Linked DNA regions of Cricetulus griseus. The protein of the gene in region 1 purifies or fractionates together with the protein of each later gene. This does not show direct contact. Links are inferred from orthologs where the notes say so. Each region holds a gene or a part of one and is shown on either strand. Other genes may lie near its edges. The genes, in order: Dicer1 and Prkra.

What was found.
Region 2: the proteins of Dicer1 (region 1) and Prkra purify together in Homo sapiens (co-immunoprecipitation; 4 studies listed by BioGRID and IntAct, with this or other methods). This does not show direct contact. The link is inferred for Cricetulus griseus from reciprocal best matches to the Homo sapiens genes DICER1 and PRKRA.

What each region holds. Positions count from the first base shown.
Region 1 is NC_048598.1:190,317,488-190,332,711, forward strand, and holds part of Dicer1 (endoribonuclease Dicer), read left to right. Parts: coding exon 1-25; intron 26-225; coding exon 226-379; intron 380-778; coding exon 779-961; intron 962-1,224; coding exon 1,225-1,330; intron 1,331-1,845; coding exon 1,846-2,021; intron 2,022-3,246; coding exon 3,247-4,027; intron 4,028-7,816; coding exon 7,817-7,972; intron 7,973-10,933; coding exon 10,934-11,807; intron 11,808-13,325; coding exon 13,326-13,594; intron 13,595-15,224. UniProt on the Homo sapiens protein: Double-stranded RNA (dsRNA) endoribonuclease playing a central role in short dsRNA-mediated post-transcriptional gene silencing.
Region 2 is NC_048599.1:98,396,071-98,412,057, forward strand, and holds the start of Prkra (interferon-inducible double-stranded RNA-dependent protein kinase activator A), read left to right. Parts: upstream 1-7,525; 5' UTR 7,526-7,701; coding exon 7,702-7,766; intron 7,767-8,332; coding exon 8,333-8,502; intron 8,503-12,868; coding exon 12,869-12,950; intron 12,951-13,976; exon of another isoform or gene 13,977-14,323; intron 14,324-15,872; coding exon 15,873-15,951; intron 15,952-15,987. Other genes in the region: Pjvk (pejvakin), read right to left, coding at 386-503, 3,124-3,265, 4,022-4,217, 4,962-5,172. UniProt on the Homo sapiens protein: Activates EIF2AK2/PKR in the absence of double-stranded RNA (dsRNA), leading to phosphorylation of EIF2S1/EFI2-alpha and inhibition of translation and induction of apoptosis.

The DNA.
Region 1 (15,224 bases):
TACTGTGTTCTACCTCTTAATGTCGGTAAGGGGGAGCCCATTTTATTGTCTGTGCCACTTTGCTGTAGCTGCACAGTGAGGCTTTTGCTGGAAACTTAGCTTACTATGTATCCTGTGAACACTCTTTACTGACAGACTCTTTACTGGAGACTCACATTAGTGTACCTTATAGAGCAATCTTCTCTGGGTTATATTTACCATGCTAAAGACTCTTTCTTCTTTAAGTTAATGACTCTAGCACTCTGGACATTGACTTTACATTCATGGAGGATATTGAGAAGTCTGAAGCTCGAATAGGCATTCCCAGCACTAAGTATTCAAAAGAAACACCGTTTGTTTTTAAGTTAGAAGATTACCAAGATGCAGTGATCATTCCCAGGTAGGTGTTTGAGTGCAAAGGAGAATGGCAGTATTTGCAAATGTTGTGCTTGTTCATGTGCCTGAGGGTGTGGGTGAAGCAGGGTGGAGTGCTCCAGATATGAACACATCTCTCCAGTTCACTTCATTCAGACAAAAACTCAAAAAACTCCCTCTGTAGGTGAAAATTTTTACTTTGTGAAAAGTATTATTTCTCATGTAAATAATATTGATAGACTTAAAGAAAAAATTACCCCTCTCAAACTCTTGAAATATATTTTTGGTATTTAAATTTTGTTAATGTTATCTACTTTTAGCCATTTGAATTCTTAATGATGGTGCATGTTTCTATATTAAACTAATTGTGCTTTGAGAATAGTTGATTTGCACGAAAAGGCAACTTGATTTTCTTTATTTTTAGATACCGAAACTTTGATCAGCCTCATCGATTTTATGTAGCTGATGTGTATACTGATCTTACCCCACTCAGTAAATTTCCTTCCCCCGAGTATGAAACTTTTGCAGAATATTATAAAACAAAGTATAACCTTGACCTGACCAATCTCAACCAGCCACTGCTGGATGTTGACCACACCTCTTCCAGGTAAGAGCTGCAGAAATGACACTTGGGTGTGGATGGGGAGGTGAGGTAGGGGAGCAGCTTACTTTCTAGGGTCAGGGTGCCTCTGCCTACCCATGGACTTTGAAATCAAGAGATCATTTGCACAAAGACTTGCCCGGGTAGTAGAGGGCTGTGCTGAATGAGCTCCTTGGGTGGCTTGTAGGCATACTAAAGCTGGAGTCCAGCCACTGTGAGGGTGTACTGTTGTTTGCCTGTTTGATAAAACTGCTCTGAAATTTTTATAGACTTAACCTTTTGACACCTCGGCATTTGAATCAGAAGGGGAAAGCACTTCCTCTAAGCAGTGCTGAAAAGAGGAAAGCCAAATGGGAGAGTCTGCAGAACAAACAGGTAATGAATGGCTACTAGCGTGACCTAATGGTTTTTTAATTGGCTCTTTTATTCTTGGGACTCTAATATACTTACATCATTTACCACTTCTTTCCGCCCTCCAAATACTCCCATGCACCTTCCTCAACTCTTTCAAATTCATGCCCTCTTTTTTCATTAATTGTTATATACATACATTCACACATACATAAATACAATCTGTTCAAACATGACCTAATAGTCTCAATAATATATTGATAACAATGACTTGTGAATTTCTGGGAGGTCACCATGGGTTTTGAATTTATTTTGAATCTCCTTGTTGGTAAGGATTGAGTTTTGCTGTTAACATTGGTCCGTTGATGCATCATGAAATCACCCTCATAAATCCAATTTAGGTTTTAAATTGGATTAGTTTTTGAAGTTAGATTTTAATAGCATTTATGATTTTCATCATTATCCCTTAGAGAAATTGGTCTTTTGATTATTTGTGTGTGTGCTCTATATTGTCAGCCTATATTTTTCTTTACTCTAAGATACTGGTTCCGGAACTCTGTGCTATACATCCAATCCCAGCATCACTGTGGAGAAAAGCAGTTTGTCTCCCCAGCATACTTTATCGCCTTCACTGCCTTTTGACTGCAGAGGAGCTAAGAGCTCAGACAGCCAGCGATGCTGGTGTGGGAGTCAGATCACTTCCTGCGGATTTTAGGTATGCCTGTGTTGCTGGCCAGAAATTTAATTTACAACAAAATAAAATTAAGTCAAAATTATATTTTTCTCAGTTACTAAAAGATGGAAAAGAAAACGTGGACACTTAAAACATGAGAATTTGCCAGGCGTTGGTGGCGCATGCCTTTAATCCCAGCACTCGGGAGGCAGAGGCAGGAGGATTTCTGTGAGTTCGAGGCCAGCCTGGTCTCCAGAGCGAGTGCCAGGATAGGCTCCAAAGCTACACAGAAACCCTGTCTCGAAAAACCAAACCAAACCAAAACAAACAAACAAACAAAAAAACAAACATGAAAGTTAACTGTATTGTTTGTCCTGAACTTTTTGTTCCTGTCAAGTTAGAGACAAGCTCCCGAGACAGAGCAGTCATTTCTTCTTCAGTGGTGATGTTGAAAATGAGGGTGAAAGCAGTTAAAATGAGTTACATATCAGAAAGTAGCAGCCTCCGTCTCTGCTTTTTAAAAATAATTTGTTTATTCTTATGTGCATTGGTGGTCTGCCTGCATATACATCTGTGTGAGGGTATGAGATCTTAGAGTTACAGGCAGCTGTGAGCCACCATGTGGGTGCTGGGAATTGAACCCAGGTCCTCTGGAAGAGCAGTCAGTGCTCTTAACCATTGAGCCATCTCTATAGCCCCATCCATTTGTTCTTTATCATTTTTTCCCTGTTAGTAAAGTTCCGTATGCCAAAGAAGTTTTTACTTAATCATTCAAATTAATTTTGGTTATATAGATGTTCTTCTAGGATTGGAAGAACTTAAAGATAATGTTATAATAGTTGAGTGCTTGGTTTAGTATGAGACACTAGTTTAAACAACATAGCCTTTATTAACTCATTCTGTTCTGTGTCCTGTCCTGAATAGGATGTCATTTCCAAGTGCAGAGTTTATAAGTTGCTTGAAGCTGCTTACTTGGTTAAGCAGAAAGTTTGTGGCTCCAGGTCCTACAGGAACCTCCTCCTTGGATCTTCTCAAGCCCCGTGCTGTGGGTGCATAAGCAGAAGTCCCAGAGCAAACTGTTGTGCATTATAGTTGAGTATGTGCAGAATCTCTAGTTATGTTCTTTTAAGCTTGGGATTGTGTTTTTCTTCATAAGTAGGAGGACTTTTAGAGTTGTTTGCTTTGTTAGTTTTTAATCCAAAAATGCTGCTGTTCTGAGCTTACCCTTCTGAAGAATGGATAGAAAGTTATAAAAATGTCTTTACAGATACCCTAACTTAGACTTCGGGTGGAAAAAATCTATTGATAGCAAGTCTTTCATCTCAACTTGTAACTCCTCGTTGGCTGAAAATGATAATTACTGTAAGCACAGCACAATTATAGTCCCTGAAAATGCTGCACATCAAGGTGCTACTAGAACCCCCTTAGAAAACCATGACCAAATGTCTGTGAACTGCAGAAGGCTACCCGCTGAGTCATCTGGTAAGCTCCAAATTGAAGTTTCAACGGACCTTACAGCAATTAATGGTCTTTCTTACAACAAAAATCTTGCCAATGGCAGTTATGATTTAGTTAACAGAGACTTTTGCCAAGGAAATCAGCTGAATTACTTCAAGCAGGAAATACCTGTACAACCAACTACCTCATATCCCATTCAGAATTTATACCATTATGAGAACCAGCCCAAGCCCAGCAATGAATGTACTCTACTGAGTAATAAATACCTTGATGGAAACGCTAACACATCTACCTCAGATGGAAGCCCCGCGGTGTCCACGATGCCTGCCGTGATGAGTGCTGGGAGAGCACTCAAGGACAGGATGGATTCTGAGCAGAGCCCTTCTGCTGGGTACTCCTCAAGGACTCTTGGCCCCAATCCTGGACTGATTCTTCAGGCTTTGACACTGTCAAATGCTAGTGATGGGTTTAACCTGGAGCGGCTTGAGATGCTTGGCGACTCCTTTTTAAAACATGCTATCACCACATATCTCTTTTGCACTTACCCTGATGCTCACGAGGGCCGCCTTTCGTATATGAGAAGCAAAAAGGTAAGGCACGGTTTTTATTCTGAGCTGTAGCTTCTTCAGTGTGCCTGAAAATGGGGCAGGTTACCCATGGAGCTTTCTCCACGCGTCAGTGCAGCTGTGTTCTAGTATATTTGGGCCAGCCAAGCCCATGGGGCGTTGCCCATAGGTGGCATGACAGCTGTGTACCAATGGTACAACCAGGCTGTGGGGCTGGCTGATAACCTTCTCTAGTGATAGTTCAGTTTAAATAAACCTCTGTGCAAATGGGTGGAACTCTTAGATCATGAAGGGGTAGAAATTGCCAGTGTTACTGTTCAGGGACTTGTGCCTTTGGTTAAGAGAGTGCTTTGGTAAACAAATGTATGCATGTGAGTAAGATGCAGTCATTCCAAGAGTTGCACTTCTTCCCAATTTCAGGGAGCCAGGCAAGCAAGGGAAGAGCATCAGGCTTTCCCCAGTGTAGACAGTGGTGCCCCATAGTTCTGAACAGTTGTTCCACAGTCCCAAGAAAGTAAGTTCTTTTTATTTTCCTATGTGTACATATGTGCATGCTTATTTGTGTGCATAAGCACACAAGCATGTTCAGCTGTGTGCATCTGTTCAGGCTGCAGGTCTGTCTTAGGTGTCTTCTATCAGTGAGCTCTGTATTTTTTCAGGCAAGGTCTCTCACAGAGCTTGGAACTCACTGATTCAGCTAAAGTAGCCAGCAAGCCCTCGGGATCTGCCCGTCTTCTGTGGTTGCCCTCTCCCCCACCAGCACTGGGGTTACAGATAGTGTCACAGCGCCTGGTTTGTATGTTGGTGCCAAGGATCTAAACTCATGCTTGCAGAGCAAACACTTTACTCGCTTAGTTCATAAGCTTAGTGTGGAAGAACAGTAATTAAGGTAAAATATTTAAGTGGTCATAAAATAGAAAACAGAACTCTGACAACTTACAAAGCTGCTAATGATCTAGCATTAAGTAGGATGGAGTGTCACTTGTGAGTCAGAGAATGTGCTCATGGGAAACCTTATTGATGGGGATGTCCTTCTGTATGCTGTGAATGTTTCTTGCTGTGAATGTTTCTTTTATTGGTTGATGGATAAAGCTGTTTCGGCCAGTGGACAGGCAGTATGTAGCCATGCAGGAAGTATAGGTGGGGATACCAGACTAGGAGAATATTGGGAAGAGGGAGGCAGAGAGAGAGGGAGAGGGAGAGGGAGAGGGAGAGAGAGAGAGAGAGAGAGAGAGAGGGGCCATGTAGCTACCAGGAAGGTAGGATGCTGGGCATTCTCTGGTAAGCCAAGACCACATAGAGATGCATAGATTCATAGATTAATAGAAATGTATTAATAATTAAGAGAGAGCTAACCAATAAGAAGCCTGAGCCATCGGCCAAACCTTTTATACTTAATATAAGCCTCTGTGTGTATTTGGGACTAAACAGCTGTGGGACCAGGTGGGACAGAAACCTCCTTATACTACGCCTTATCGTGCAAAACAATGCTGCATCTGCCGAGTGTGGTAGCACTCAATAGTGACAGTGGGGACTGGGAAACCAACTGAGGGAAGGTGTGAGAAGAGGCCCAACTGTATGAAGAGGATTTAGCACAGGAGTGCACATGCTGTGGGTACTTGAGAGGAAGTTTGAGCAAGGAGATGCTACTGTTAGTAGGCTGACCGCTAAAGAGACTGATGTGGCCCGGGGTGTAGTATGGGCTGAAGAGCACAGCTACGCCAAAAGCAGAACAAAAATGGCTGAAAGGAAGGGACTGAGGTGAGTGATAATATCAGAAAAAATCATTTTAGTTCAACAAACTTCTTATTCTAGTTCTTTTATGTAAAACATATACATGAAGGTATAGAGACAAATACTAATTTCTTTAATTTAATCTAAGTTTTCTTATAGCCTAGAAAGGTGCATGTTTTTATATGCCCATTTGGTAGGTAAGACAATGAGGCAGGAGAGGTTTAACTTACCCGAAAACATTGTGGTAGGGAGCAGAGCTGGGATTGAGCTGACAGTATAGCTATGGGCCTCCTTGCCTGTCCCAGTCATGGCAGCTTGCTTCAAACACCAGACATGTAAACATCTTACAAACAACACTTAATCTCCCTGCAGTTCCATTGCAGTGACATGTGCCACCATTTTGCAGATGATAGGGGCATGAGCTTGTGTGAGGTTATTCACCAGCCCCAGATATTTAGGAGTATGTCTGAGACTAGAGGCCACATCCATGCTGGCTGACTTCCCGGTGAGCTTAGGACAGGCCATCGGTGCAATGACCTGACAATTGTGACAGCTTACAGTGGGGGGTGGCAGTGGCAAGTGTCATGAGAAAGACAGCGAGGCATCAGGCAGGGCTGGTTGTTTAGACCTTGTGGTATAGGGACTGGAAGAATGCTTAGAAGCTAGAACTCAGTCCTGAAGGTCTCAGGGCTCGTTAGAGGATGAAGGTCATAGTCATGAAGGCATTTGAAACAAGAATATTAGACCCTATTAAGCAAGAAAGATACTTTATTATTTTAACATTCAAAACTTTATCCATTCATCTACTTGGAGCCCTTTGACTTGATTTCTTGCAGAAATAATTGTTTCCTCTGCCTGGTGTTCCAGTGTGTACAGAATGCTCTTCCAGACAGATCCTGACCAGACTCTTGCTTGCCATTCTTGACACAAGCCTCATGCTCATTGCACAGCCTGTGTCCTTGCTCAAAGCTGGCCCTCACTGTGATCTTCCTCATTGCTGGTCCTCTTGGCTTTGAATTTTGCCTCTCATCAAGTCCTTAGTTGTATATTTTCCATTCCACCAAGCATTTCTGACTTGGAATATTTTCTCTCTCTGGGCTCTTATTGCCTTCTTCCTCTTGGGATGCTCTTGTATAGCGTGGAAAAGGAAACCAGCATTTATGTACATTGGCTCCATTATAGACAGTTGGGAAATACTTTGGCACGTGGTAGTCCCAGTCAGAGCTGTCTGCCAGTCTGTACACATTATAAGGACTCTTCTCTGTCCCTTTGCCTGCTTTCTACCAGACTGCCTAGCCACTGCTGATCATGGGTGCGACATGCTGACTAAGTAGTACTTGAGTTATATGGAAAGGGCTCCTGGAGTATTCCAGTACGATTTTAGAAACTGGAAATGAAATTGATGGTATTAGATCCTAGTCTCCAAATGAAAGCTAGACAGCTACTGTTTTAAGTAGGTTAGGGATGTGATAGAGCCATTAGGAAAAGCAAGTGGACTAGAGGAAAGATTAATAAAGCTGCCTGAGTAATGTACTTGTACAACAAATGTTCTTTAACACTTTTTATTCCAGTGTCTTAAAATGTTACCCACAACAAAAGAACAGTATTTGAGAATATTAGGATTGGAGTTATATTGGTGCTTAGAGAAATACAATGGTTTTATAACAGTGACAGTTTTCATGTAACACGATGTCCTTCCCTTACTTGTTAAGAATATCATGACATCTCGAGTCACAGCGTCGTGACATCTTCTGCTCCCAGTTGCACTTGCCGTCTTGCATTTCATATTATCAATCTGTGCTTTACAACTTTGAAATTGAGCTCTTTTTCTGACTAGTATATAAGGAAAGGAATTTGTATACATTAGGTTTTTGTGACTCCATTTGTAGTGAATATTCATTTGATGACACCAAAGGATATCCAATACTTGGGAATTTTTAGTCATTGTTAAAAATAGGTAGTAAAACTGTGTGGTCCTTATGTTTGGTGACTGGTTGTGTAGTACAGAGGACATTGGCATGTGTGTTTTCCAGCCATGACCATTTATGGGTAAGTGTTTGTGACTCTTTTCCACCCAAGGTCAGCAACTGTAACCTGTATCGCCTTGGCAAGAAGAAGGGACTGCCCAGCCGCATGGTAGTGTCAATATTTGATCCTCCTGTGAATTGGCTTCCTCCTGGTTATGTGGTCAATCAAGACAAAAGTAATGCAGAGAAATGGGAAAAGGATGAAATGGTAAGCAAGCGCTCAGTAAGCAGCACCTCCGTTTCTGTTGACTGAGCACATTTGCAGTGTAGTAGATATTTCATATGTTGGTAGGCTGTCTGACCTCAGAAATAGTGTTCATTTTAGGGGGATAAAATTTTGTTATGTTTCCACTTAAAAATAAAATCAGATCCCTTTCAGATTCCCTTTACTCTCATGTATCCTTAGCTATTTGTTGAAGTGACTTTGCAGACCTGTGATCACCAGGCTGTGTCCAGAAGAATTCACTGCAGCACACACTAGCTTATGCGATGCAGGGCTAGCTTGAGACTGTTTGCTCTTGCAAATTGGACAACAGATCATCATATGGGAAGGTTGGGAAGGTTGTAGTATGCTATGAATAATTGAAGTCTTGCCAGAGACTGAAGACTCATCTCTTTAGCAGCCACAGCTTCCTTTGTCTTGTCCCAAAAGCCACCAGGGGGCAGCTGGGAGGTCTGTGTGCCCTGGGCTAGTGGCTGGGAGAGAGCTGTCTTATACATCTTTGAAGTTACCATCTGCTCAGGCAACTCTGATTGCCAGGTACAAGTTTATAAATAGCAACATCTTCATGCCTCATTTCGGACATTTCTATCCCAATAAGTCCTAAGCATATGTAGTGGTGTGGTCTGGGAAGCTGTTCTGATACAGGCCTGTTTGCTGAGTATATATGTAACTCAAGTAGGATTTGACTTATCACAGAAATGCAGCTTAGCTGCATTAAGAGAATATTTTACTTTAAGTTAGATCTAAGGATGACATTTGTTACTGATTTAGAACATACACACATAACATTTACATACATGTATATGTATATATACACACACACCATAGAAAAAGTATTTCATCTCTGAAAAAACAGTCAGCAGGCCTCCTTTTCTGTCCATTTGACCCTTTAGGTGTCAGGGACATATCAGGACTTTCCTGAAATAGATGTTACAACACTGTTACAACTTCTGGTTCCTGGCCTTTTCTGCCGACTCAGCACTGTGGTTCTTGGCATACACTAATGTACTCCTCAGGCTTTCATCTGCTGCTTTACTTAAACTGACACACTGGGAAATCACAAAATGTTTTTGGCTTGTGTCCTTACAGTTCCTTCTGCCTCAATGTCTGAATGCCTCTTCGAAGAGAAAGAGGGAGGGTAGCTCAGGTAGACTGTACTGTCTGAGACACAGACTCTTCAGAGGCTACTTGTGCTTTGGAGAGCATTTCTGAAGTACATCTTCTTGTGAGAATGAAGAGTGCAAGAGGCCCACCATGTTACAGACACAGTGATTTATGGAGAAACTTTGCAAAGCTCAGGCTGAGTAATTTAAATTTGGCCCATTTTGTTGTAAGATCCAAATAATAAAGCCAGTGTAGTGGTTCATGCTTTTTTCCCATCATTTGGGATGCAGAAGCAGGTGTTCAAGACCAGCCTGGTCTACACAGTGAGTTCCAGGACAGCCAAGACTACATAATGAGATCCTGTCTCAGATAAAACTAACAGAAACAAAAAGTAGTCAAAGCCTCTCATTTTATCTTGGAAAGGCACAAAGGTTCTGACAGTTTGCTGAGATTTGCTACTTGCTGAGTGTTTTACCTGGATGTATGTGTGTGTAGCTAGTAGATGCTGGTACCTGTGGAAACCAGAAGAGGGTGTTGATCCAGATGGTTATAAACTGCCATGTCAGTGCTGGGAATGGAATCCGGGTCCTCTGGCAAGATTAGCCAGTGTTCTTAATGTCTGAGCCATCCCTTCCACCCTGTTGATTGTTTGGTGTTCTTTATTTTTCAGAAGAAGTTTTGTGTATTTTTTAAAACAGTGGACTGTGCGTGATTACAGAGCTAGACTCACTGTTATTTTATTTTCTCAAGCAAATCCACAAATTCAAGCAAATTTCTAACTCTTTTGAGTCTGGTTGAAAATGAAATATATGCCTCTTTGAAAAACACTTGGGTAATAGTTTGCAAGTGTTTTGTCAGGATACTTAGGAAAGTTGTCCCAGTCAAAGTTGAAGCTTACTGTCCTTTGTTTGCCCCAAGTGCAGTGGTGGTGGCTCTGCCCAGGTGAGTTTGTGTTTATGGTATAGCAGAAATTGAGCATCTTTTTAGCATTGCTGAGAGGTTACATCACTGCTGAATTGTAGCCCGTTATTAAGGTTGTCATTCACAAATAAGCTTTTGCCAAAGATACTGGAATTAGCAAAGATTTTTTTTTGACAGAAATGGGATTGTTATGTTTCATGTTAGTCTAAATTTTCTTCTATTTTGTCAGTCTGTTATGATCTGTTGGCCTGAATACCATGGCTCAGAATAGAGGGTGAAAAAATAATTTCACAAATTCATCCCCTCTTTCAGTGGTCACATTCATTTTTTAAGCAAAGCAGTTTAGTTTTACATTGTAGCAAATAGTTTTTGATTTGAAATGGAAATAGAAAGTATTATAAAACCCTACTGTAGTTTATAATATTAAAGGTTTTTTAAATTTTGTCTGTTTTTATATTATGCATATAGTTGAAAAGATGGTGCTCTTTCTACATCTGGAATTTCATTTTGTTGGTTTGAAAGTCAGGCTACCATATTTTCAAATTCTGTCAGCTAAGTGAAAGGCCTCTGATGGACACACAAGGGCTGTATCAGTAGTTAGGGCTACTCAGTTGACGTTTTGCATGGTGGACATCAATTTTAACTTTATCCATGTTCAGGATTTTTCACTTACAGATTTATACTAGATAAAGGTCATTTTATAACTTAGAAAATGAGCATTCAAAGAACATGCTTGACTTTGTTTATATGATTAAATAACTTATTTAATGTTAATTGAAAACAAATGGCCATGATTTTTAAAAGTTGCCTTTTAGTATTTGTGGTTGTCATTTGAAATTATCCATAACCCTTGCTTTTATTGAGTTTCAAACTCTTTTAAAAACAGCGGCTCTGTCTCTCCTTTCCCGTTCCCCGTTTCAGACAAAAGACTGCTTGCTGGCTAATGGCAAACTAGGTAAGGACTGTGAGGAGGAGGAGGCCCTGACGTGGAGGGCTCCCAAAGAGGAGGCTGAGTATGAAGACGACTTCCTGGAATATGATCAGGAGCACATCCAGTTTATAGACAGCATGTTAATGGGGTCAGGAGCCTTTGTGAAGAAAATTTCTCTTTCTCCTTTTTCAACCTCCGATTCTGCTTATGAATGGAAAATGCCCAAAAAGTCCTCCTTGGGCAGTATGCCGTTTTCCTCAGACCTCGAGGATTTTGACTACAGCTCTTGGGATGCAATGTGTTATCTGGATCCTAGCAAAGCCGTTGAAGAGGATGACTTTGTGGTGGGTTTCTGGAATCCATCAGAAGAGAACTGTGGCGTTGACACAGGGAAGCAGTCCATCTCTTACGACTTGCACACGGAGCAGTGCATTGCTGACAAAAGCATAGCGGACTGTGTGGAGGCCCTGCTGGGCTGCTATTTAACCAGCTGCGGCGAGAGGGCCGCTCAGCTTTTCCTCTGCTCGCTGGGGCTCAAGGTGCTCCCAGTCATCAAAAGGACCAGCCGGGAAAAGGCCCTGTACCCTGCTCAGGAGAACTTCAGCAGCCAACAAAAGAGCCTTTCAGGGAGCTGTGCTGCCACTGCAGCCAGCCCACGCTCCTCTGCAGGGAAAGACTTGGAGTATGGCTGCCTGAAGATCCCACCAAGGTGTATGTTTGACCATCCAGATGCAGAGAAAACCCTGAACCACCTGATATCTGGGTTTGAAAATTTTGAGAAGAAAATCAACTACAGATTCAAGAATAAGGCTTACCTTCTGCAGGCTTTTACACATGCCTCCTACCACTACAACACTATCACTGGTAAGGAGCCCAACAAGGAGACTTTGTGTCTAGTGCTTTGTTCTGGCGTGTATGCAGTCTTAGCGCTCAGTGTGCGTGGCAGGGGGTGGAAGTCTCAGAGAGCAGAATTCTTTATGCTCTCCATCACTGGGGAGTAGGAATGCTCTGTGACTGTGGCAGTTGAGGTGCGGCTCTTACATCCTGTCATACATGGAGTCTCACAGGCTGCAGGCTTAGAAACTGAAGCCTGTGTGTTTTGCTGTTTCCTATCCTTTCCTACCTAAATACCTTTCTCGGGGATATTCATTGCTGCTTTAGCTTCTTGATTTACTCATATAATCAGGTTATATTTCCACATTGTTTTGTTGCTCCTAGACAGAAAGGTACCTCTCTTCTGGGCTTTTTAAATCTAAAGATGAGAAGATTAAACAGAACTATTCTATAGGAACAGAACTATTCTATAGGAAGGGCTTGTTACTTCCTTTGTTCTGTTGTTATCACCTTCGCCTTCTTTATTTAGTAGTCTCCTAATAAAAGGAGAGTAAGTCCCCAGAGCCAGTTAGCTTCAGCTTCTGGACCCAGATAAAGTTTTTTATTTTTCTTTTTGTATAAGAATATCAAACATATCAAATCAAAATAAAAAACTTATAGTTTGGATAGGTTAAAGCCATTTACAAAATATAAAACCTGAAAGTGACGTTGTTAAACTAAAGCCTGCTTTTCTGTGTGGGAAGGAAATGGCATAGTTTGCATGCATTGCTAGAAGCTATGAGGCCTGGACTCCAGGGTGGCTTGGCTCTCCCTGCTCCTCACCCAGTAGGTACTCAGGAACTGGGCGCCCTGTCCCAGCCTCAGTTTTCTCAGCTCAGTGAATTCTTTTAATGACCCTGAGGAAAATCAGAGTGCTGGTCAGCATTGGTAGCTTTTCATTCTGACAAGCAACCCTTTTTGTCTGGGGTTTTATTCTAGTGCACAACTTCTTTCTTAGTGCCTTGGTTTGTGTCAGGTTCGTGTGTCTAGTTAGAGTTGAAGAGTCATGTTTTCCCTGCTGTTATCTCATGTACCGTATAACCCTGAAAGTGCTAAGGAATTATACCACTACAGTGCCTTGATGACAGTGCACAAAGGGTATGTGGCTTTACTGAGATGCCACTATGTGCTAGAGACACAGGAATGATGCGCAGTGCCTGTCTGGCTAATGTAAGAACCCAAGGAAAGGGGTGCTGTGACTTTGATTGTGTCTGGAAAGTGCCTTTTGTCCTCCAAAACAAGCATATTATTTGGGCACTTGAAGATTATATGACCCAATTTATATATAAGAAATATGCTTTCAGTTGCTGTTAAAACTTAACTTCCAGGCACATTAGCAAATATATGTCCAATAATTTCATTGAGGAAGGTAAATGAAAATGTTTCTTGGTAGAAGTCTCGAAAGGAGCCTGGGACTGCAACTTTTTCATCTGCTCCCACGCAGACAGAGTATGCAGAAAGTGCATGTGCTCATGCAGGCTCACCGTTGCACTTTGGATCTCTGCGCAGATTGTTACCAGCGCTTAGAATTCCTGGGAGATGCGATTTTGGACTACCTCATAACCAAGCACCTTTATGAAGACCCGCGGCAGCATTCCCCAGGGGTCCTGACTGACCTGCGCTCTGCACTGGTCAACAACACCATCTTTGCATCGTTGGCTGTGAAGTATGACTACCACAAGTACTTTAAAGCTGTCTCTCCCGAGCTCTTCCATGTCATTGACGACTTTGTGCAGTTTCAGCTTGAGAAGAACGAGATGCAAGGGATGGACTCTGAGGTTAGTGCTATTTAAACTGTGAACTCAGTGCTGAGGGAAGCAGCCGACTGTGTTTGGGCAGTGTGAGCTCTGACTCATGGCTCTCCAGAGGGATAGTTCCAGGCCAGGGCCAGGCTGCTCACATGCTGTGGGATCTCCAAGCAGAACTGAGAATGACTTGCCTCGATCAGGTAGGCTTTTGAGACTTGGCTGCCCACTCCATGGACCAAGTAGTCATTCAGGCGAGGAGACTGGGTTTTCAGTTCCTCCAGTGAGGCTCCTACAGCAGGCATAGAAAGCTGTACAAGTGCACCTCTTCCCATGCCCCAAAATGGCCTTCGCTTCTCTGCTGTCACAGGATCTCTTCCTGTCTTTTATTAATTGGTTCAGAAATATTTGGTAGCACCTCAGGTGTAAGCCTCGCAAATGTACACTTGAATTGTTTGCGATGGGAGCTCTTGTTTGTAAGCTTCTGGGCGCTGGGAGGCATCTGCTGCTCTCCAGTGCCGCCTGGCTCACGTGTGTGCATTCTGCACTGCTCTGGCTCTGTAGGCAGGGACACTGCTCAGCTGCCCTTTCCCGTCTGCACCCAGTGGCCAAGGAACTTGCATTCTAGTCTAGGGTTCATTCCCAGCTCATTGTCTGATTTCAGTTTTTACTGCCTCTTTTGCAATTGCCCAAACCTCTGGAGAATAGTGAGTTTCTGGGCTTTCTGTGGGAGTGTAGAGTCTGGGATTGAAGCCCTAGCAGCCACTTACACTCCCCACTTTGCCTCTGTTAGCAGTCCCTGCCAGCAGCGAGGTGAGGAAGGGAACCATCCATGTACATTTCTAGTTGAATTCTTTAAGTTTGAGGGTTTTACTAAAATTCAAGTTCTCTTTTGATGCCAGTGAGGCATGCTGGCTGTTAGTTTTTCTTCCTTCTTTTACTGTCCTTTGTATCAACTTGTATAGAAGCAACAATGCTTTTTCTTAAGGAAGTCTATCTTTCTGGGCCTTAGCTTCCTTTACTATAAAGAGAGAGAATCAAACCTGCCAGGTTTGAAATTTTCTTCATATCCCAGAGCTGTGGGCTATGAGTAATGAGTATCTTAGAGAAGCCAGCATGTGAATATATTAAATACAAATTAAAATTTTCCCTTTTTCTTCTCCTCCACAATAATCTGTGCTTTGTTGTTGTTCTTAGAAAATACAGGTAAACAAGAGAAAGGAAGGAAGGAAGGAAGGAAGGAAGGAAGGAAGGAAGAGAAAGAAAGAAAGAAAGAAAGAAAGAAAGAAAGAAAGAAAGAAAGAAAGAAAGAGAAAGAAGGAAAGAAAGAAAGAGAAAACTGAAGTTGTCTGGGGATGTGGTCTCATAGAGTCAGCATTAGTACTTGGTGTGGGTCTACTGTTGCTAATGTTGCTGGTGTGCTGTACACTGCAGCTGCCCTTAAACTTGATGTGCTCTGCAGCTGTACCAGCATCGTGACTTGTGGTGATCACACACTCAACTTGAGATGGCTCGTTTCTTTAAATGGTCCTTCTAAGGGGATAGTTAAGTAGTTTTTAGTTAAGATGGTTAGTGACTGAGTATGATCCATGGGTTTGTATATGCAGTTAGTTATTGGCAGAGATCGTATTGCAGCATTAAAGGTTTTATTCCACTGATCCAA
Region 2 (15,987 bases), on another chromosome or scaffold:
TATAGGGTCTTCACTAAGAAGCACAAAAGAGGTGCTGGGAAAGTAGACAAGGTGCTTTCCTCCACCCTAGCATAAGACTGACCTTACTGAATGCATCATGCATCTGTAATCATGAAAACGAGAGGGGAGACATAAGGAAAGAGACAAAGACAAGGAAAGGAGGGAGGGATGGAGGGAGGGAGGGGGAGAGAAGGAGGGAGGGAAATGGGGGGAGGAGAGGGAGAGGGAGAGGAATTCATTCCTATCACATTCCCCTTAAAAATATCACTTGAGAGGGAAAAGGGAACTGGGATTGTCATGTAATTCAATCTTGTTTGTAATTCAAATAAAAAAAAGAAGACCCCCCCAAAAAAATCATTTGAACTTTTACATATCTTTTACTCACCAAAGGCACCATCCAGGTAAATGAAGAGTTCAAAAACACTGAAAGCTATAGTTGTGTGTGCTGGGAAAACAATAGCTTTTTCCCTTCCTTTGGGATTCTGTTCATCCATAAAATGAAACTACAGTAAACAAATGGATAAAATAACATCATTACACAGCAGGGCAGGGTAGCTTGTCGGAGAAACAAACTTCCAATAACCCCCGCAAAAAAAAAAAACACAGCCACCTACTCAAGTAAAGCACTGCCCTGCCTCAGTTAACCCTTCCATTGGACACCCATGCATGATAGGTCACCTAGAGGCTGGTGACCTTTTAGCTCCCCCACTTGAGGCTTGAAGTCAGCAATTAGTGTCACCACAGTGTTCTTGCATAAACCCTTCTCTAGCTTTGCCCATCTACTTCAGAAGCCCCACAGCAGCAGGAAGCTCTCCCAGTCACAAAAATGACCACCATCGAGTAAATGTTTCAGCTTGTGCCCCTCAAATGACGGATGTTAATCAGAATTTGGAGGATATCTGAATACAGACTCTGAGCAGAATGCTCCTAATGTAGTGAAGAATATAATGGGATAGCTTTATGAGAAGGCACCTAGTGTCCCTGGAATGTCTTGGTCATCTTGCATAGATGAGATGCATAATGTGTTAAATTACAACTGGAGGGGGTTGAAAAGATGACTTAATCCTGTATTTTTTTAAGAGGTGTTTCTTTATGATGTGTGTGGGATGGTGTGCATGCCACAGGTTATGCAGAGATATCACAAGACAACTTTGTGCAAACATTCTTCTTCTATCATGGGTTCCGGGAATAGAACTCAGGTTACCAGGTTTGCGCAGCAAGCTCTCTACTCTGAGCCATCTCACTGGTCCTAGTCCTATATTTTTAACAAGTGGTTTTATTTTATTTTTTTCCTGAATTATCAACACACCATATTTGTACACACCTACGAGAGGCAATGTGCTACTTTGGTTCATTGCACGTTGGACAGTGATCAACTCGGGGTAATTAGTGCATTAATCTACCACCTTAAAATTTCACTATTTCTTTATAATAAGTACATCCATTTCCTCTAACCATTTTGAGAAGTATGGGACATAATTATCTTCATTCTGCTGTGTCAAGAGCCAGCAGGACTAAATTTCCCTATCCTATCCAACAATAACATTGTTTCCACCAGCCCAGCCTCTGCTAGGCCCGGTCTATGTTCAATGTCTACAAGATGAGTTTTTTTCTCTTTTTCTTTCTTTTCATTTATGTGTGTGGCATATGCATGGGTATGTGTTTGTATGTGTGTACACATGCATGGGGGTATATGACCACATGTATGTGGATATATATGGAAGCCAGAGGTCAGCTCTCCATCTTATTTTTTTTTTAAGATAGTTGCTCACTGAACATGGGGCTCACTGATTGGGTAAGATTATTAGAAGGCCAGCCAGTCCCAGAGATCCTCCTCTCTCTGCCACCTCCCTTGTGCTGGAATCACTGATGCACACTGCAACACGTAGCCTCCATCCTTTTGCTTGGGGTCAGATTCAGATCCCCATGCAGAACAAGTACTTTATAGACAGAGCCATCCAACATCCCACTTTAAAAATTATATTAGTGCTGGGTGTTGGTGGCTCACACCTTTAATCCCAGAACTCTGGAGGCAGAGACAGAGGCAGGCGGATCTCTGTGGGTTTGAGGTCAGCCTGGTCTACAGAGCAAGTGCCAGGATAGGCTCCAAAGCTACACAAAGAAACCCTGTCTCAAAAAAACAAAAAATAAATAAATTTATGGTTTTCATAATGAGGTGTGTGTGTGTGTATGTGTGAATGCACTTTGTTCTAATTTGTCCTCTGCCACTGCCCTCCCCTTTCCACCTTAAAGGTGAATTATCAATACGGAGTTAAATATTGATAAGGATATTTATTAGGGAGGGCCCTACTTACTCAGAACAGCCTAGCCAACCGGCAAGTAACGAGGTAAGTAGAACAAGCCGAAGAAGAAGGGGAAGAAGGGGCTCCCAGGTGTGTGGCCCTCACTCTTAAACCTCCCTCTAGTCACCCTGACCACACCCTAGAGGGCAGGGCCAGGCACACCTGTAACCAGCCCTGAGCAGGCGTGGTTAGGGTGTCCCCTACACCACCTTCATACTAATCTCCACCCTCATGTACTCTTCCCTTCTGCTTTCATATCACATGTATTCCATCTCCTTTCCTCCTCCCCACAATCTTTTCTTCACCTTTTATGGTCTTCTTTATGGTTTCATGACCTGTACACAAATACATGCACACACATAAACACACACACACACACACACACACACACACACACACACACACACACACACACACACACACACACACACCCCTCAAAGCTGGATCTTACATATTAGAGAAAATATGCAATATTTGCCTTTCTGTGTTTGGCTTATTTCACTTGACAATTTCATTTTCCTACAAAATCATAATTTCATTTTCTTTACTATAAAATGTCACCTATCAAATCAGCACTAGGTATCACTAGTCGGTAAGGATAAACAATATAAATACTTTTCTATTTTTAAATTTTTTCTAAAGATTTTTTACTTTTTTATGCATATGTATGAGTGCCTGCCTGCATACATGTACATCATGCATGTGCAGTGCCTGCAGAGGCCAGAAGAGGGCATCAGATCCCTGGGACTGGAGTTATCACCACTTGTGAGCCACCACGAGAGTGCTGGGAACCAAATCTGGCTGCTCTCCAAACTTTTACCCGCATGGCTTCGCCTCGGATGCCAGCATGCACAGACAGGGAACACTGCCTCGTGGTCCTAATGCTTTCCATGACCACGCACAGCACGGCCTTCCTGCTGCTCCTTGATTGGCGGATCAAACTGTGGTCAAAGTTAATTTTTCTAGAATAAAATTTTAAAAAAGACACATGCACAAGATGTTTTAATATGTGGTTATACAGAATTAAAGGTACCTGTTGTGTTATTTGTGGTCCATCTTAACTCACTGTGACTCGAGGCAGTTATAATGCAAATCAGAAAATATAAATCATTTAACAAATTTGCCTCTCCTGTCAATGGTTTTTCTTATTTTATAGAGTGCAGGCATGGCTGTACTTTTGTAGAACTGGGGACTGAACCCAGGGCCTTGTGCATATAGGCAAGTGCTCTATCACCAAGCCACCTCCCAGTCACCCACCCCCTCTTTATTTAGACAGATCCTCAATAATCTGCCCAAGAAGAACTTGAACTCACTATATAGCCCAAACAGGCTTGTGATTCTCCTGTCTTACTCTCCCAAATATCTGGGATTACTGGCATGTACAACCACACCTGACTCTCCTGGTTCTATGGAATGTTCTTTTCTGTCTGTTGAGAGTCTATTGGAAACACAGATCATATTATTTCAATTGATTAATTTAGCAAATTATGTAGAACCAGAGTGATGTTTTGTGAAACAACTAAAAATGCTTATCAAATGAGTTTTTATTGGGTTGGGGTACTAATTAGGCACTAACATGTAGGTCGTTCAAATGAAGGGAAAATATTTATTAACTTCTAAAACACAACCAAAATGTTTTAAGCATTCTTTGCAATGGAGTTGATACAGTTAAATCATTTAATGAGAATACAGTGGTACACAAGGATCTTTGTACTGACCGAGCAGTAATTTCCTTGAGTAATGTTGATACTTCTACTTCATGTTTGGTTACCACACCAAATGAAGCTTTGACTGCGATGGAATCAGATCCAGTAACATTAATCCCAACATCATTCACAATATGGTTGCTTCGCCTTCCATAGAGGGAGACATCTGACTCATCTTCATAATTCAGTAACTGATAAGATGAAATGCCTTAGGAGAAGGAACTTAATAGTTTTAAATGTCTCAAATTCATCTTAGACTTTATGTAGTATCATGTTAACATTACTGAAAAATTCTTTTGCCGAGATGTTAATTCGACAGCATTTCCAAACACATGAGAAGTAGCATTTCAGGCAATTTTACTACAAAAATATTACAGAATACTTAAAAAAAAAAAAACCTCAAATTCTCTGTTCAGACAACAGAATACATATACATCAATCAAGATCCATGGGTAGCTGAAACAAAAACAAGTGTCCATAGCTAATGACTAGCCATCAGGCCTATTTTATAATCTAGCAGTTCAGGGTTGGGAGGTGGCTCAGTTGGTAAAGAGCTTGCTTGTAAGCTTGAAGGTCTGAATTTAATACCCCAGCACCCACATTTTTAAAAATTGAGTTTACCTATTGTAATAAACTGTAAAATAATCTCTTTCAGTTATTGATCATGTGAAATGGGTAAGACCAAATAATATCCTATACTATACAGGACAAAATACACCGTTTTCTTGGTCTATTTAGTTAAAAACAACTTATAATTGGGTTTAAAATTAAGCAATAAGAGATTTGAAGCTATAAACACTTAAGCATTGTTCTTCTTAACGATACTACTACCACATAAAGGTTGATTTTATTCTTAAAATGTGTATTATTAATATAATTAATCTATACAACCTCCATTAGGTTATTACTGATACAGCCCCATGGAGAGTCACTCCCAAACATTTAAACTTACCAGCTGAAATGTCTCGATCTCCTAGTAGGACATCTTTAAGCGTGAAAGGCGTTGAGGTAAATTTGTGTCTAGGAAACAGAAAACACCGCTTCTTTTTAACCACCAGACTCAGGGGCTGGTACTTGTCCGCTTCGCTGAGGCTCGGAACAGGCACTAATCTCCCTCCATCTCCAACTTGCTTAACAAAGCTCTTGGTAGCAGCAGCAAACATATTAATATCAAGATGTCATCAACTGCGACCCTCAGGCAACAAACCCATTTTTTTATTATTAATTTTTTACAAACCCATTTTGGATGAAGAAAATCAGACACCAAACCGAGCCTTGTTTGATGTTAAATCCAATTACGCAGGTTAGAAGTATAAAGCATGCTCTCACCAGGTACTTTACCGGTGTGCAGTTCACAACACTGCCTCCCCTCATGAACTCAGGTAATGAATAATACATGGCAGTGTAAGAGGATACGCCAAAAGCAAGTCTAACTGGGAATGGCAGTCTACAGAACTAAAACATACACAAAAAAAACTAATTCAACACATGACCAATGTCCTTGAGGAGACCACAGTTGAGAGTGCTCTGCTACAAGCAATAAACCAGTTCCGAAGGAGCTTAGAGCCCTATGGGAAACTGTGCAATTGAAGCCCTAACATTAGGCCTGGATATGATCTACGGTGGACATCATCCAAAAGGAATCCCTTCACCAGGCCAGCAGGTGAGTTTTGGCAACAAACAGAAAAGCACTTTTGAATCCTCACAGTATTCAGCATTTTTCTCACTGGGATCTTGTGTGCTTATAAAACTATGTGTTTAGTACTAAATATCAATTCACAGAATAGAGAGGGACAATTGTAAGCAGCTCTCTATAGAATACTAAAGGCTTTTAGTTACAAATTACATTATGTACTAAAAACTACTATGGCAGTCTCTTACTTTAAACTGATGGCTCAAACTATATCACCTGATAGAATTCTGCTGAATTTACATCCTTTTTGTTGCTCACTACTGTCCCAATCACCCAACCTAGAAAACTAGTTACTTAAAGTTTTGGCTTATTGTTAAGGAGTTTTGTGGACCCATTTAAATTAAATTCTAGGAAAAACAAACAAAACACTATACTGAGATATTGTATGGCCGTAGGTGGTTGACATATTTTGAAAGTGGTTATTACAACACAATTTTCATTAAACACATGAGTGTAATATAATAGCATTATTGGGTAGTAACCTATACTACTTATGGAGAAATAAAGGAAGAGAGAATAGGCTTAACCTAAGCCCCAGTAGAATTCAGTTTGATTCGATTCTGGATATTTTTACTTGCTTCCAAGTATTTGGTCTCACATGCACCCAAACCCAAATTTCAGTCACAAAACCAACTACTTTTGTACTCCGACCTAAAAAAAAAAAGTGTATTTTTTAAAAAATAACTGATAGCTGTCTGTTCGTGAGAACATTTCTAGAATTTAATTCTAGAGCATCAGGTAAGTAAGCACAGGTGTCATTGTGCAAAGTAGTTCACAAACCTCTAAAATTCGCTGTATCGCTGTCTGACACATCCACAACACACTCTGAAGGCGGAGCATCCTAGACTAACATCATAACTCCTCTCCGCATAAACCAGCAGGGGAGGGAAGAGCTATCCTGGAAACTAACTGGTCTAGATATCCTTACTGTGCACCCCACCTCCCTGGTCATCCGGAATCCTGTAGTTTCCTAAAGCAGCGGTTCTTAACCTGTGGGTCACAACCCTTGGGGGGGGGGGAGGTTGCATATCAGATATTCTGATTATGAGATATTTACATTACGATTCATAACAGCAGTAAAATTATGTAGCAACGAAATAATTTTATGGTGGGGGGTTTCACCACAACCTGAGGAATTGTATTCAAGTGTCGCTATATTAGAAAGGTTGAGAAACGCTGTCCTAAAGCCTGCAGACCACAGGAGCCCGCCAGGCAGGAGAGGATTTCAGGGATCCAGTACTATTAAACCAGCCGGTCCTGGGATAGCTTGGTGCCCCTTTAGCCGACGCTCCCCGGTCTCAAGTTTTGGGGCGAAGATCCGGAATTTTCTTAGCAATTTTGCATTCGGAATTTTCGAATCTTTCTTGAAGCAACCCAGCCCTTCGTCTTTCGTCCTTGCTCCTCAAACATGCTGGCTCTCGGCCTACTAGAAGCTTTCTCACCGGAAAGGGCCTCCCTCTAAGGACAAAGGACTGAGCCTCTGCGCCACTAAAGGCGGGAGGAGAAACCCGGAGAACCGAAGCGGGGCGCAGGCAGAACTGAGAAGAGCTGGGACTGGCATGGAGGTGGAACCTAGGAGATGAGGGGCGGGGCCAGGCGAGCATAAGCATTGGAAGCTGGGAAGAGCCGGGACTGGCAGAGAGGGTGGGACCTGGGCGCGGGCCGAAGCTGGGAAGATCAGGGACCCTCAGAAAGGAAACCGGGAAGGCGCCCAGCGCTGTGGCATAGGGGAACAGGGCACGGCGAGGGGCGGAGCATGGTAGAGAGGGGCGGAGCCCAAAGGCCGGGCAGAGAGGGGGTGTGGCCGGCTCTTCCGCACCGAGGCCCCGCCTCTCCTTCCCTCTCCGCCTGTCCCTTTGCTGGAGACAGGCAAGCAGCTATCGGAAGGGGAGCCAGGCAGCAGTGCAGGCAAGCTCCTCTCGGGATCTGGCCGACGTGGAGAGGGAAGACCCAGATCCACACTGCTCTCGGTCACTGTGCACAGCCGTCCCTTCTCGCCATGTCCCACAGCAGGCATCGCGCCGAGGCCCCGCCGCTGGAGCGCGAGGACAGCGGGACCTTCAGGTCAGCGCTGGGCCGTCGAGGCCGCAGGCCCAAGACGGGTGGGCAGTGGGGCAGGGGCGGGGAGCCAGCTGTCGGGCTGCATTCTGGGTAAAGCCCCCTCCTTCTTCAGGCACCGCACTGGACCCGCCCTCCGGGCCGGGGGATCTGCCGCGCACCCCGCCCCTTCGGCAACTATCAGATCTGGGGGATATATGACCAGGGGTGCAGGACTCGGGTGTAGGCTTGATGTAGCCTGCAGCTCCCGAGCCCACCCGGTTTCCTTCGGCATCCCTCCCACTGCACTCAAGTTCTCTCTGTACAGACCTCTCTACCCTCATCGATAGGCTATAGCGCCCAAAGACAGGTGCGCCCAGGCCTTGCCACTGACCCTGGCTTCTGGGGAGCTGTGGAGGTTTTTTTTGTTTTGTTTTGTTTTGTTTTTTGTTTTTTGTTTTTTGTTTTTTGTTTTTTGGTTTTTTTTTTTTGGTCACTATTTGTGGCTGTCAAAACTGACAAGTGGATGTTTTTGCTTCCCTATCAGCTGTGACATGTAAAGCTTTTTTTTTTTTTTTTTCTGATTTTTGCAGTTTGGGCAAGATGATAACAGCCAAGCCTGGGAAAACACCGATTCAGGTATTGCACGAATACGGCATGAAGACCAAGAACATTCCAGTTTATGAATGTGAAAGATCCGATGTGCAAATTCACGTGCCCACTTTCACCTTCAGAGTAACCGTTGGTGACATAACTTGCACAGGTCTGTATGCAGTTAACCTCCATGACCATGTGGATTGACGGTCCTGACTTTGTGTTGCTTTTCGGCTAGGAAAAGTGCCCCCTTTTGCCAAAGTCACCTATGGGAGCAGAGGAGACACTCCGCATCAATTTCATGTGTTTCGCTCCCTAGTTTTTGTCTCCCTAAGATGGAAGAAGCTCAGAAACGCAGAAGGTATCCAAGCATCCTATACCTAGGGAGCCTGCTAAAGTTCCTCTTAAGAACTAGAAACTGGAAATGTTCTTGGGCTGTCATAGCTAGGTCAGTAGGTACTATTACCTCTCACAGTTACAAGTGCAGATGTAGGCCTGACCTCAGAGTTTCTGAGTTTCCCCCCTTTATGGACACATCTGGAACTTTGGATTCTTGGTGCCGTTTTTGAGTCTGTGTCTATGAAATATTGGGAAGGCAGAGACTCCTGTACTGTATCCCATCAAGCTGTATTGCACTGTAGCTTCTCATTCTAGATACTATACAGGTATTTTGAATAAGGTTTCCCCTTTTTATTCATGAAGTAGCAAGTTCAGAGACATTTTCATAAGCCATGTGACCAAGGTCACACAATAATGGGGTTTTACAGTTCAGATTCATATCTTCTTTCAGTCTGAGTCTGAGAAAATGCCCACCAGAGTTGACATTTGTAAATGTGGACATCATTTTCCTATATACTTATTTAGTTAAAAGCATGAAAATGTTGAATAATTTAATTTGTAGATATACAAAGAAAAAATTTAGGGAAAGCTAAAGTTCCACTGTCTAGTAATCTGAATGTATCATATATTTGTATCTGAGCATCTGGGGTTGTCTAGTCATTGGAGCCACTTCAAAAAATTGAAACTCTTTTTATTTATGTGTGTAGATGGATTGTAGGTATAGGCTGGAAGGCTCCATATAGAAATCCACATGGTTAGATTGAGTTACTACTTTAACTAGTCATTTTTTAAATATTTGTGAGGAGTGTTCAAGGGGGAAAAAAAGCCATTTTCCCCTCTAATGCATTTTATTTCAATCCATAAAATTGTTGTCTAACTCAGAATGCTTTTTCTGGCATTCTAATTTATCTTCCTTTCTCTTAGATTAATTTTTTTAATCAAACAAATGTAACACATCTTTGAATCATTAAACAAATATTTCACAGCATTATCAAATATAACACATCTTAAATTAATATTCCACAACAGTTCTTATATACATGAAGGTTTAGAAGAGACAATTTTGTTTGCTTTTTGTTTTTTGAGACAGGGTTTCTTTGTAGCTTTGGAGGCTGTCCTGGAACTCAATCAGTAGAGCAGGCTGGCCTTGAACTCACAGAGATTCACCTGCCTGGACAGTCACCCAAGGTTCCTCTATAACATTGGAGCATGCATTTTAGGCCTATAGTTCTAGAATATCTGACAAACTTTTCTGTGAAGCATAAATTTTGAAGGACTGTCCTACCTTGTCTTGACAAAGTTTGACAGTCACTTTCTTTTGTGTCCTGTTTGTCCAATTTGAACAGTATACTGTCAGCAGTTGAGGCAAGGGCCTAGCTTTGTCAAATGGCTATCCCAAAAGGCTACCTTTGTCACATTGAAATGAAACTCCATAGGGAGTTTCTCTGATGCCCATCATCCTTTTTTTGAAGTAAATTGGTGCTGTCAGGAGCAGATATGTTTCACTGTTATGAAAAGCCTTATGTTTTCAAAACATTTTAAATGCCATATTCTGTAGGTCTTTGAAGTGTTTGAAGACCATCTATTTAAAATATATCTGTTTGACCTTGAAAACATACTTAACATGAGTTAGATTGCTATAGATGACTATTAACCTGTTTTTCTTTATTGTCCTCAATGGCTTTCAAGGACTAGAACATTACATTACATTTTTAAATGAGCTGCACAGGTACAATATCTTAAATAAGAGTAGAAACATATATATCGCATAATAAAAATAACCTTAAATTTGTATCAAAATACGAAAATCTACACCAATGTAAAATATATGAGACTAATATTTGTTCAAAAGTAGACTCCACAATCCACCCTTTTATCCCATCATTTCTATACTATATCCTCCTTTTCCCTTCAGAAAGAGGTCTTTGGCTCTAATCTCCTTTGTTTAGTGCTTTTTCCTGACCATGACCAATAATGACAAATATCCATACCTCACCAAATGACCAAAAACCATGAAATGTGGGTATGGTGTTCTCTAGACTGCTTCCTGTTGTCTGGGGGCAACAACATCTTTTGGGGACCCTGAGAAAATTGAGATAATGGTTAAGTCCTGGGAAAGTTAGTTGTGTTCTTATTTTTTTTAATCTCTGTGTGATGGGAAAGTGTAAAGCTCATTTGAAGGTTTGACTGGATAGTCTTTGAGGCTGCTCCATCTCAGCAGCCTTGAAGTTGGTCTGGATGCAGAATTTTGATTAAACTGTAACAGAGGCATTTTTGAGAGGCTGAATCACCAGGATTACTTGTCTTTATGGTGTCTGGCCTTTTTTTTTTTTTTTTCCTGAAAACATACAAACTTTTAAAGGTAACATATATATATCTGTATTAACACAAATGTGGAATTTACAGTATACACAAGTCAGTTAAAAATCATTCTTTGTTTTATGTTTCAGCAGGTAAAAGGCATCTGTCAACTTTATAAGTCCATTTGGACTGTGTAACCAAACCTCTATCCACGCCATATGAAAGGATGGCATGTAATAATACATCATGAGGACTCTCTAGCCAACAAGTTTTATCATGTCTTGTTCAGTCTCAGAGCTGTTCCTATGTAGATGTTGCCTTTTCTGTAGTCTTTCTTGGTCTCTTTTTCATGTTTATAATCAAGATTTTTATCTTATCTTTACTAATTTTGAAGAGAACCTGTGGAAACAAAAGCATAGCCTCTCCTCAAATACAACACATTCTCCAACTTCCATTCGGAAGTGAAGACATTCTTAAAATATATAAGTTGGTTTAATTTAGCAGTTTCCATAATCCAGTGTCTTCAGCAGCTATTGTTTTTGTACATTAGCTTTAAAAATTCAAAGTCAACAAAGTACCATACAGGATCCAGGCACCCTATGTGTTTCCCATTTTTATGAGGCTTATTCTTTTTTGTTTGGTTGGTTTTGTTTTGTTTTGTTTTGTTTTTGGAGACAGGGTTTCTCCATGTAACAGCTCTGGCTGGCCTCAAATGCACAGAAGTCCGCCTCTGCCTCCAAAGTACTGGGATTAAAGGCATGTGCCACCACTGCCCAGCAGGGCTTATTTTTATATTACTTTACTTTCTCTTTAGAGACTTTATTATTTTTAAACTATTTCTTTCTATGACCATCTATTACCATTTTTACTATATCTGTTTAAAAGTTTTCTTGGTCTGGACCATTTTGCTGCACACCTGCAGCCTTCTCTGACTGTAAGACAAACCTTCAGTGGCCACGTCAGATACCTGGAATACCAGGCAGCTATGGCAGCTGGTTCCATCCCCCTCAGTTTGGTGAGAGTGTAGCCTCAGGCCTGCAGACCCAGCCTGGAGCCAGTCTATCTGCCCCAGCTCCAGTAGGTGCTTCTACCTAGTCTCCTGCCACCAAGTGCCTGCTGCTTATAAACCCCATTCCACTGTTTGCTAGCAGCGCGTCTTGGTAGCAGGGCCTGTATATGCTGCAAGCAAAGAGCCTCCTGGGAACTTGTTTTTCAGCTTTCTCAGGTCCTGTGTGGATTTACATGCCATGCATTAGGCACCAAATGTAATAAGTCTTTTTCTGTCCCTCCAGCCAGCTCCCAAATTATAACATGGAGACTTCTTATTAATTGTGAAAGCTTGACCTTATCTTAGGCTGGTCCCACTAACTCTTAAATTAACCCATTTGTTTTAATCTATGTTCTGTTGCATGGCTTAGTTACCTCTGATCTATACCATATATCCAACTTCTTTAGAGTCTCCCTGGTGTCTCTTGTGAGCCTAGATTCATCTCCTACTTTCTCTCTGCCTGGAAGTCCTGCCCTTGCCTCCTGCCTAGCTGTTGACCATTCAGTTTTTTATTACACCAATCACAGCAACACATTTTTACATAGTATACAGATATCCCACAACAAAGTTCTGTTTGCTAAGTTCTGTGTCTTAGGGAGGTGTGATATGATCTAGCTTATAAATAGTGTTTTATATAGGTATACATAAACTCAAAATAAATAATACTTTTAAGACTGGCTTTAGTGTGTTGATTTCACATGTTGAGTGTTTTAGTAATGTAACTGCATATAGTGGATGGTTTCAATAGCAAGCATGCCTATGGTGACTTTGTTTTACACTGTGACCACAGCTATGAAACCCATACTTCTTACAGAGACTAAGAACATTCCCCCCATTTTTAATTCAGGTGAAGGTACCAGTAAGAAGCTGGCGAAGCATAGAGCTGCAGAGGCTGCCATAAACATTTTGAAAGCCAATGCAAGTATTTGGTGAGCTAAATTTCTTTGTATTCTGCAGCTCAAAATTTTCATGGCTGAGGTAAGATGAAAAATTTTAACATGCTCACAAAAGCAACAGAATGAACAGTTGTTGGTATCTTCACTCTAAAATTCCATATCTGTGAAAGCCTGCCATCCATTAAAGACAATTTAAGCCAATTAGATCTGGTAGTAGCTGTTAAAGGAATGCTGTCATGAACTAGGCTTTAGTGGTTTGTGTTGGGGTGCAATCATTATTTATAGCCAATATTAATATTCTTAATATGCAGGGTATTAATTTGTTAATTAATTGATGGTCTTACTTTGTTTTCTGTAGCCTAGCTGGCCTCAAATTCACTATGTAGCCCAGGCTGAACTCCAACTAATGGTTCTCCCATCTCATCCTCATTGATGCTAGTATTATAGGCATATATCACTCTACCTAGTTGTAAGTACTCTTAGGAGTTCTCATTTGGAAAAAGGAGGCAAGGTATACCTTTCCTGTATAAAGTACAGGGGTCTGTTAAGTGAGGTAGTAATTCCAGACATTTCTACTGTCAGTGGTTTTAGAAAGAGTATTAGTCTTACATCATTGTATGTCTCATAAATGGTGTCTTTAGTTTACACTGGGCACACTGTGGAACACAGCATGCCTTCAGTTTCCTCTCTGACACACACCCAGAGATGCCTGGAGTTCAGTCATGTGTAATCTGCCCGTAGTTGGCCAAAGGGCCAATGGGATTTAGGGTATACTAGGTTTTTTGTTCTCTAGCCATAGTGAGACTTACAGATTAGGAATATATTTAGGTTCCATGCAGTAGCTCTCTCTCAGTCATTCTAAAGCGTTTGGGTAATTTAAAACTAGTGACCTGTTTACCTTCATGGTAAGTGCTTGCCTCAGGCCAGCCTTGAACCTCACAAGGTGTAGGGGAAGCTGTAGCCACGCCTACTTAGGGGCTGGCTACAGGTGTACCTGACCATGCTTGCGACTGTAGCCAGCCCCTAAGTAGGCGTGGCTACAACAAGGTGATGCTTATCCCTCTGTATGGAAGTGACTTATGATGGCTTTCAAGTCACACTTCTTGTAGTACGGCTTTTGAGACCTTCCACCTGCTGGCAGTGGCCCTTCTGTTCTGTGCAGCCCAAAGATCATCTCAGAGTGTTGGGTACATTTGTCAAAATCAGCAAACAGCATGTCCTCTCTGCACATGGGCACTTCACTTTGTCACCATGAAAGGCTAACAAACTTTACTATGTATTTGTGCTTCTTGACAGATAAGATGAGAATTACTAAGCTGTAATCAGGCCTACAGTGGTCTGATTTAATACAGAGACTTTCTCACTTCTCCATCCCAATTATTTGCGTAGCTTCGGCATGCAGCATTGTAAGTGAATATGCGTCTATCTCGTCAGCCTGGGTTAAACTTGGCAGTTGGAGGAGACAGCAGTAGCAGAACTTCAAGTGTCACAGCAGAAATGACTCTTGAGTTGCTTAGGTCATTGTCAGCATGGAATGTAGCTTATTCAGAACGAGGCATTGATTTCCCAAGTGATTAGTAATTTCAAACTCCCTAGAAGAAACTGTTCTCTCTCCCCTGATTATAATCCCCACACACATTTAAACCACACTCATATAGGGCATCTACTTTATGCAAGATGTGTCACAATCTCAGAAGATTAAACTTACATTGAGCAGATGACAGAACAAATTTTTTTCTTGCCTTGATATGTGGACGAAGAAACATTTATAGCCTTTGTTACTGCATTGCTAGAGCTAGATTTCCTGACTAATGGTTGTCTTTTTGTTTTGTTTTGTTTTTTGTCTACAGGGGTTGGAGGGATGGCTCAGTGGTTAAGAGCACTGGCTGCTCTTTTGAGGTCCTGAGTACAATTCCCAGCAACCACATAATGGCTTACAACTATCTATAACAGTAGTCCCATGGGACCTGATACTCTCATACAAAACAACCATACACATAAAGTACATAAATAAAATTAATTTTAATAGTAATGTATATTATACATGCATACATTCATACATACGCACTCATATGTATGTATATAATTTTTAAGAACTTCATACATGCATCTATATCACCCCTATCCCTCTCCCCTTCTCTTTGTCCAACCCTCCTCTCCATCCCAAATTCATGATCTCTTCTTTAATATTATAGTTACATGTACTTTTTCTGAAACTGTATTTAAATTTATTTATTTTATTTTGTGCATATGAATGTTTTGCTTATAAGTATGTATGTGTACTGCATGCATGCCTGGTGCCCACAGAGAACAGAAGGAGGTATCTGATCCCCTGGAATTGAAGTTATGGGTGGTTGTTAGCCATCCTGACCCCATGAGAACTGGGAACCAAACCCATGTTCTGTAAGAGTAGTGTTTTTAACCACAGCCATCTTTCCAGCCCTCCATATGTACATTTAAAATATTATTATTAAGCATTGGTTATGTACAAAGCTTATATAAGCAAGTAATACATAGACCCCACCACCAAGTAGTATTATTCAGTGTGAGTTGGGAGAAGTTAGTTGAGGAATGGACAGGCTGAGTGTAACAGTGAATAATTTAGGATCCAACAACTTTTTAAAGAGCCAGACTAAGTGTTTTTTGTTTGTTTGTTTGTTTTAAATATAGGGTCTTGTATAGCTCAGGCTGGCCCTAAATGGTACAGTGTTTCAGAAGAATGAGAGATTATGATCCATTGAGGTAAAACTATAAGCATCTGGAAATGATGCTTGACATAGCTCTTGGATGATGGGTCCATCAGGTTCCCAAAGAAGTCGCAGTGAGGGACATTCAGTCCTCGTAGGAAGAATGGAAGAGCTTAGGTGGAGGAGGTTAAATAGAGAATACATTGTCACTTTCTTAGTAGCTCAGAGGAAATTGTGTTATTTAATAACACCTTTAAATAATGTTTAGCTTTGCAGTTCCTGACCCCTCAATGCCTGATCCATCCAAACAGCCAAAGAACCAACTGAATCCAATTGGCTCATTACAGGTAAGTCAGTTACCCGTACTGTTTGTCTACTGACCT